Linked DNA regions of Astyanax mexicanus. The protein of the gene in region 1 purifies or fractionates together with the protein of each later gene. This does not show direct contact. Links are inferred from orthologs where the notes say so. Each region holds a gene or a part of one and is shown in the gene's direction. Other genes may lie near its edges.

Evidence for each region. The genes of interacting proteins can lie anywhere in the genome.
Region 2: the proteins of vdac1 (region 1) and atp5f1c fractionate together in Homo sapiens (co-fractionation; 3 studies listed by BioGRID, with this or other methods). This does not show direct contact. The link is inferred for Astyanax mexicanus from reciprocal best matches to the Homo sapiens genes VDAC1 and ATP5F1C.

The regions. Positions count from the first base shown.
Region 1 is NC_064424.1:47,952,987-47,956,743, reverse strand, and holds the start of vdac1 (voltage-dependent anion-selective channel protein 1), read left to right. Parts: upstream 1-777; 5' UTR 778-905; intron 906-3,115; 5' UTR 3,116-3,118; coding exon 3,119-3,185; intron 3,186-3,757. UniProt on the Homo sapiens protein: Non-selective voltage-gated ion channel that mediates the transport of anions and cations through the mitochondrion outer membrane and plasma membrane.
Region 2 is NC_064409.1:21,091,991-21,095,747, forward strand, and holds the start of atp5f1c (ATP synthase subunit gamma, mitochondrial), read left to right. Parts: upstream 1-1,163; 5' UTR 1,164-1,233; coding exon 1,234-1,274; intron 1,275-1,775; coding exon 1,776-1,810; intron 1,811-3,512; coding exon 3,513-3,644; intron 3,645-3,757. Other genes in the region: kin (DNA/RNA-binding protein KIN17), read right to left, coding at 126-239.

The DNA.
Region 1 (3,757 bases):
ATGTCCAATACTCCAGAATATTCCTTTAATTTGACCAAAAAGCAAAGAAAATTACCTGTATATTACATTTCTCTACAGTGAACAGGTTTCAGTAAAGATGCTGCATTACTGCTACTGTGAGCTGATTGGTTGGTAAGTTTAAGCTGGAAATACAGACAGAGCTTTTAAAAAAGTTTAAAAGCTTTAAAAATGTGTGCAATAAAACATGTGATGCAGTTCTGTGGTGAGGAAACGTGTTTTTCATTATAAAAATGATCAAACATTTATAAACTGTGATTTTTCTGTAATGCTCCATATGAACCCATTCATTTATACTCTGTATAGTATAAAAGTAGGTTATCTATACTTTACTGCCGTAATTATTTTACATTTTCACACAATTATCTGAACTTTCTACTTCTTACATTTTAAAAAACAGCCTCGTTACTCCTGTTTCATTTCAGCTGGTTTTCATTCCGGCTTCTCATCATTCAATAAAACTCCTATCCAGATAAATCTCTCCATCCAGATAGAGTGAATCTGATTCTGATTGGATGTAGAGAAATATAAACATATACCATTCCCACTCCCTATTGGTTTAACTGTGATCCATCACACCTGCACACAGTTTTTGAATCCAGTACTTTTACACTTTTACTTAAAGAGTAAAAAACTTGAGTTGATTCTTCAACTTCTACAGCAGTATTTGATTAAACTTTAGTATCTATACTTCTATTTACAGAGTGATGGATGGAGATGGGGATTCTCCTGGGTAGAAGGTCTGTGGCGGTGCTGCAGATGTTGTTACGCGGACAGCGTGACCTCTCCTCTCCTCCTCCTCCCTCCATCTCTCTCTCTCTGTCTCCTCCCCCCATCCTCCTCTCCTGACTGAAGACTGCAGGCCGGGCGGAGAGGCTGTATCTGCGGTAAGCTCCAGCTCCAGGTTTATGGTTGTTACCGGTTACACGGCGCTGTTAGACCGCACTGCCCGCAGCCCGGCTGCGCTCCGCGGGGTTTAGCGGGAAACCGCGGCCGCAGCGCGGGGCTGAAGCTGTCGGTGGCGGCGGGGTGATGTGCAGCCAGGCGGGTCCGCGGCCTGGTAGCGCGGTGCTGCAGCCCGGGGATGCCCGGGTTTGGGCGGTGAGACCGCGGGGAGGGATTGGGTGGGTCTCCTCCTCTGCGTTCATCCCCGCGGTCTTTCTGCTCCAGGCCGGACCCTGACCGCAGCTCAGCTACCCGGGTAGCACAGGTCTGTAATTCCGCTCCACAAAGTAAAAATCCACCCCGGGATCTTTTACTGCAGCTCACCACTGATCTACTGAACCAGAAACCTGGGTGGATTTTTACTTTGTGGAGCTGGATCACTCATCTCTAACTAGCGGCTGTGGCTAACGGAGCCCAGCGGGCAGGGAGCAGGCAGGGAGCGGGGTGATGCTGCGGATCTGCCCGCCCTCAGTAACCTTCATCACACACCGCGATATTTAGAGAAGAGACTCGGGGATGGATGAGTGTGTGTGAAGGAGAGAGAGAGAGAGAGAGAGAGAGAGAGAGTGTGTGTGTGTGTGTGTGTGTGTGTGTCTGTGTGTGTGAGTGTAAGGGGGGGGGGGGGGGGGTCTTTCTCCTTGACATTGTGAAGGCTGTACACACTGCTGTGTTGCATCAGCTCAGTTTATTCTTTCTTCTAGTGTATAGATTAGTGTATAGATTCATTTATATAATTAATATATAATACAGGTTGAGAGTATAAACCCTGCTGTAGTAAAGCTGTAGATCTGCTGCTGCTGCTGTTAAACTCGGGCTAAATCTAACCCTCCTCTCCCAGCTTCACCTTCACACTCCGGATCTGAACACAGGCCTGTGTTTAAACTGTGCTTCTCTAGTGTGTTTTTAGACTTATTTAACTCTAAAAATACTAAAAAAAAGCTCCATATTAGAGCATGTTCCCGCTAGAAGTCCCAGTGCATGTAGCGTTACCGTATTTGGATAGCATAAATCACTGTATCATGGTAAAGATATGGAAATGAGAGGTCATACTGCTTTTGGATTTTTTTAAATAATATTTGTAATTTTTATTATTATTAGTTTCCATTTTTATAGTACACTTTTTTTAGCAGTGACAGTGAGACCGGATTTTAACAAATTTATTGTAAAAAAACTAAATAATTAAAAAGTGTAGGTCAGCGCATGCGCAGTGCCTTTAGGAAGCACGTATCGATGGGTAGCACAACTCGACAGAACACCCGGCTCTCTCCTCCTGCTTTTAATAAACTACTTATTCTTAAATATTCGTATATATATGATATAATTATAAAATATAATTCTAAAAATAAAACAATTTACACACACATTTATCCCCTGAACGCAAAACATGGATTGATCCATTTCTAAATATTTTGTTTTATTTTTTATTAATTTGCTAGAAATTAAATTAGAGGAGCAGTCCATTCTCTTATTTAAATATCCATGTAGTTGAGTTTTAACTCAAAAGGAGGAGTTTGTCAGACAGGGGTTAGGCCTAGTCTTAAACTGCACAGCATTTGGATTTAATCTGAATGAAGATCCATTTACAGGAAAGCATTTTAAACATGGAGGTTTTTAAATGTTGTTTATGTGAAGCGTTAACTCCGTGCAGAATGGGAATAGATTAGCATATGCTTAACTCTTAAAGCTTAATGAAAGCGTGGTGACGTGATTAGCTCACTACTACTGGAGTACAGGTCAGGAGCTCAGGGTTGTCGGATCAGATCAGTCAGTGATGGTGCCGCATGCGGTTCTATGGGGAGGTTCTATGCTGGTGATTCAGTGATTTCTGGTCGGGTTAGCTTTTTTAAACTGGTTCTCAGGTAAGAACTGACAGCAGTGTGGTTTAGATTGTGTTGAGAGTGAGCTGTAGTTTGTTGCTCTGTTGTGAGAATGGGTCTAATTGGCTGAAAGGAGAGCAGATGGTCAGATGGTTTCTCTATGGATCCATGTTCTGATGCGCCCCAGTGACCATTTACTGTTCCCATAATCCTCCAGTTATTATAACAGCACACATTCCACAGCGCTGTCTCCTCCACTTCAGTTCACACCGGGTCGGTTCCGGTTCAGTTCTGCGGTTCCTCTCAGTAAAGTATAATTCTGTGTTCTCCTGCAGATCATGGCTGTTCCACCGACATACGTTGACCTGGGAAAGTCTGCTAAGGACGTCTTCACTAAAGGATATGGTAGGAATTGGGTTTAGATGATTGGTTGGATTGTTGGTTGAGTTGGGAGCTGATCTTCTACAACATGTTTAAACACACCTCCAAACTCCTCCTTCAGCCCTGTTTGGACAGATTATTTATTATTGTTTACCTGGGGAGGGGAGGATGGGGAGTCATGTATTTTTGCTATTTTGTAAAAGTAAATAAAAACAAATTCACACTTCACACACAAACGTATCTCAGTATAAGTGACAGAGATGGGAGTGGCTACTCGATTTACACACTGCTTTCACCTACAGAGAACATAATGATAACCATTTTATAACCCACTTATAGTTTATTTAATTTTAGTTGTATTGGTTGAGGATGATGTACCAGTGTTTTAAAATGTACTCTGCACTAACTACAGAGTGATATACGGCTCTATATAACACAAACTATAACTTTCACAACTGTCTGTTCAAATTAAATGCAATTCTACTAGGTTTAATCCTGTTTTTATTGAGTTAATGAATCAAAGCTGTGCTGTGAAGTGAACCGTGAGTTTTCTGTATTGTAACTGTAATTATAAAAAAAAAAAAATGTTAAAAGCT
Region 2 (3,757 bases), on another chromosome or scaffold:
TATCAAAGTGTATAAACTACAACCAAAGAAAACAGAAAACCGTACAGAAACTAAAATAAAAATAACACTAATATACCTAAGCTAACTAACAGCTACTTAATAAAGGAAAACTGTAGTTAACTCACTTCATCTCGACACTGTTTCTGGCACATCTGACAGTACCAGCGCAGCTTCTGCAGCCCTTTAGCTTTAATTCGGTTCCCTATCGCTTTAGGGCTCAGGAAATCCGCCTTTCCCATGTTCAACCCTGACTACACACCTATAAACAAAGCGTTAATTTACTATTAAACTAAACTAGTTAACAGTTCCAGAGCCCCGTTCCTGCGTTTCTGTTCTGTTCTTCTGCCTCGCCGCTTCGTGTTTGTGTGTGTATGCGCTCTACGTCATCACTTCGTGTGTATCTGTAATAGCTAGAGAACAGAATGAATCACTCCATTGAATCGGTTCCTTTCAATTAGTCAAACCTTTTCAATTTTTTTACCCAAACTGTGAAGCTTTAGTAAAGATTTCTGTTGTTTACGACTAAATTATGGACTGAAGACTTTTAATACGGTGAGTACTCTTAATAAGTATTTTTTCCTTCAGTCTGATGTTTTAATTTAATTTAATAAAATATAACGTAATTTTCTCCATTGCGCATCAAAAACAGCACATAGCTTCATTCGACGAAAAGGGGGATTTTATATAATCCTACACATTAAATGTATATACAGTAAATAAATATTCATTTCAAATCATAATAAAAAACATCATTATAAATGTACAGAAAACGTCACCTAAAAAATCATAATCTAAATTAGGAAACTTAATTAGAAATGTAGTTTTGCAAATGTAATGTACCTGTATGTTTTCAGCAGATATAAGTAGGTTTTAAGCCTGATTTAAAAAAATAAGCTTTAAATAATATTAAATGTGTGTAAAATAACAAATAATCAAATATATATTTTTTTAATGGTTGATATGAATTTCCCCACAGATTGACTTTTTAAAATAATTATTAAATATTCATAAATGTAATCCACAGTAGTATACCATTTTGATTTTTTTTATTAAACGTTTAATATATTATTAAAGTGAGTCGATTCAAACGTGAATCTACCGTTTTTGAATAAGAACCTGAATCACCTGAAGAATCGGTTCAGTAAACTGAGTCGAACGTCAGCCGGATTCGACATTTTGTAGGCGCTGTACGCATGCGCAGTGCGGCCAGTCTGACCTTCATTGGAAGTGAACATGTTCTGCAGGGCCAGCGCGGTGGTGTTCCTCCCACAATGGTAAAGCCTTTAAAACTCTTCATTTTTACATTTTCTGATTAATGACATTGTGTAAAGCAGTATTACTGTGCAGTGAAGGTGTTCAGGGCCCGGTTCTGTCTGTTATTCGGGTCAGAAGCTCGCAAGGACGAGCCGGTCCCGGTAGGCCTCAGTAGCTTAACGTCAACGGCTGGATTAAGCCTGAGAGTGTGAACTTCACCAGTCTGAGTATTATAATCAATATTAACCCTCTGCATTTATCCACTGCCCTATATTACCCAAAATATAATAAAATAATTAACACACGGGTTTACATAGTTAAATAGCTGTGTAAATTGTAGTTGGGTTTAGCAGTTTGACCTGTTTGTATTAGAGCTACACATGCTTGATGACTGCTTCATATCATCTAGTATTAGGGCCTAAATATATAGATAGTTTAAGTGTAAAATGTAAGTGATGCTGGTCCCTATAAGAAAACTGAAGCTGTTTAATATAACTGATTGAATCCTCTCCTTGTTGCAGTGGGCAGGTCAGGAACATGGCTACCTTGAAGGACAGTAAGTAAACTAAAGCATTTATATTTATACATACAGAGATTTTCATTAAACATATAATTATCTATTTTAGTTTGGGATGCAATGATGTGGGAATTCTGTACAGATGCATATATCTGATATACACACTGATATGTCTGATACACACAGACTACACATCAGTATAGCTTTTATGACTTTATATCTAAATACTACAAATTAGTTGTTTGTGCTGCTGTTAAAGTGTTTTAAACTGTACAATTTTAAGTAGAAAAAATAGCTGAGGGATAATTGACTTAAAAGCTCCTTGTGATGAACCTCAGTCAGTTGATGTACTGTATGTATTTGTATGTAAGGACTTTTTTTTAAAGCTGCATATTTATTTACCTAAAAATTACAAAGCATTTATAGAAGATGCAAAATACTTATTTTTATTGCAGTAAAATAACTTATTTACATTCTGAAAATTTGAGGCCTTTAAAATCCAACTGGACACTTGAGCTACCTGTTCATGCTCTACTCCACTAAATAATTCCAGGTCAGTGACAGGAATCAAACCCAAATTATGCATGTCTGAAAATGTAAGGAATGTTTTGGAGGAGATGAACAGTTTCATTTATATTCAGGAAAATATTGATTTTAAAATGAAGTTTAGGAATAAAACAATTTTAAGATTTTATTCGTTATATTTTGACATATTTAAGTAAATATTTTTTAAATATTTTCTATTACAATTACAATTCTGCTTTTCAGTAATGTTCCTTATAAAACATTAAAGCTTTTTTTGTAATGTTAGAATAGAAATCCTCAAGATTTAGAGGTGTAATGTCAGGCAGACAGTTGACAAAAATCTTGGCATATTAGGTGATATAAATATTAACCTTTAGTAACGTGTTTTTTTTGTATTTTGTATTTTGATCAAAAGTTTACTTAGTTAGTTTCAAATAAAATAAAATAGTCCAAATAAAATGAAATGCTGGTTTTACATTTTAATACGATTTGCCATGAGACTTTTATTGTGAAACCCAAACTGGCAGGTTAGCCATAATGCTAACTGATTTCTGAATTGAATTAATAGCTATTGTTTGATAACAGATGGATAGCACTGTGCTGTTTAGATTAGTAGGATCTGTGGTTTAATAAAAAAGTGGATTATGGCTATATTTCACTCCGTTCTTTAGTTATTGACCACAGAATGCTGGAATGCTAGTTTACAGCTAACTTTAGCAGTAAGGACTGGAGCATGTTAGCCTGCATGCTAACTGTTTTCTGAGATTAATGAATGGCTATTTTGTGCTGTCCTTAAGATGTAACTTTGCTGGCTAGTAGCTACATATGGACGGTTCTACTGTTTGATATGACATGTATGATGTCTGTACTGTATTACTCTGGTCTTCAGTTATGAAGTTCAGAACTCCTAGCAGAGCTGTTCTGTTTGCCCCCAGTGAACATCACTGTAGCCATAGTGCCATAGTAGCCACAGTGTTTGGTCCTTTTCCAGCATACAATTCATGCTTTAGCGAGGACCAGGTTGGAAATAATGGGAGGAAAAAAGCATTTATCAGCAATTACTGATATAATTCCGATATCATTGTGCATCTAATGTTATTCAGTTTAATTGTGTTGATTTGCTTGCATGTAACATCTGTTTTATGGCATATTGACTGACTGGGGGTATGACCCGGTGATGCGTTTTTGTTCATTTCTTTTCTGTTTTGATCTTTAGTCACCATTCGGTTGAAGTCCGTCAAGAACATCCAGAAGATCACCAAGTCCATGAAGATGGTGGCCGCCGCCAAGTATGCTAGGGCTGAGAGGGCCTTGAAGCCAGCTCGTGTCTATGGCACTGGTGCTCTCTGTAAGTTTCCTTGAATAGATTTAGCCTGTTAATTGCAAAATATCTCATTGCTATAACATCAGACTATAATCCACCAATGAGACCTGCTGACAAATCACAAATGTGCAGAATGA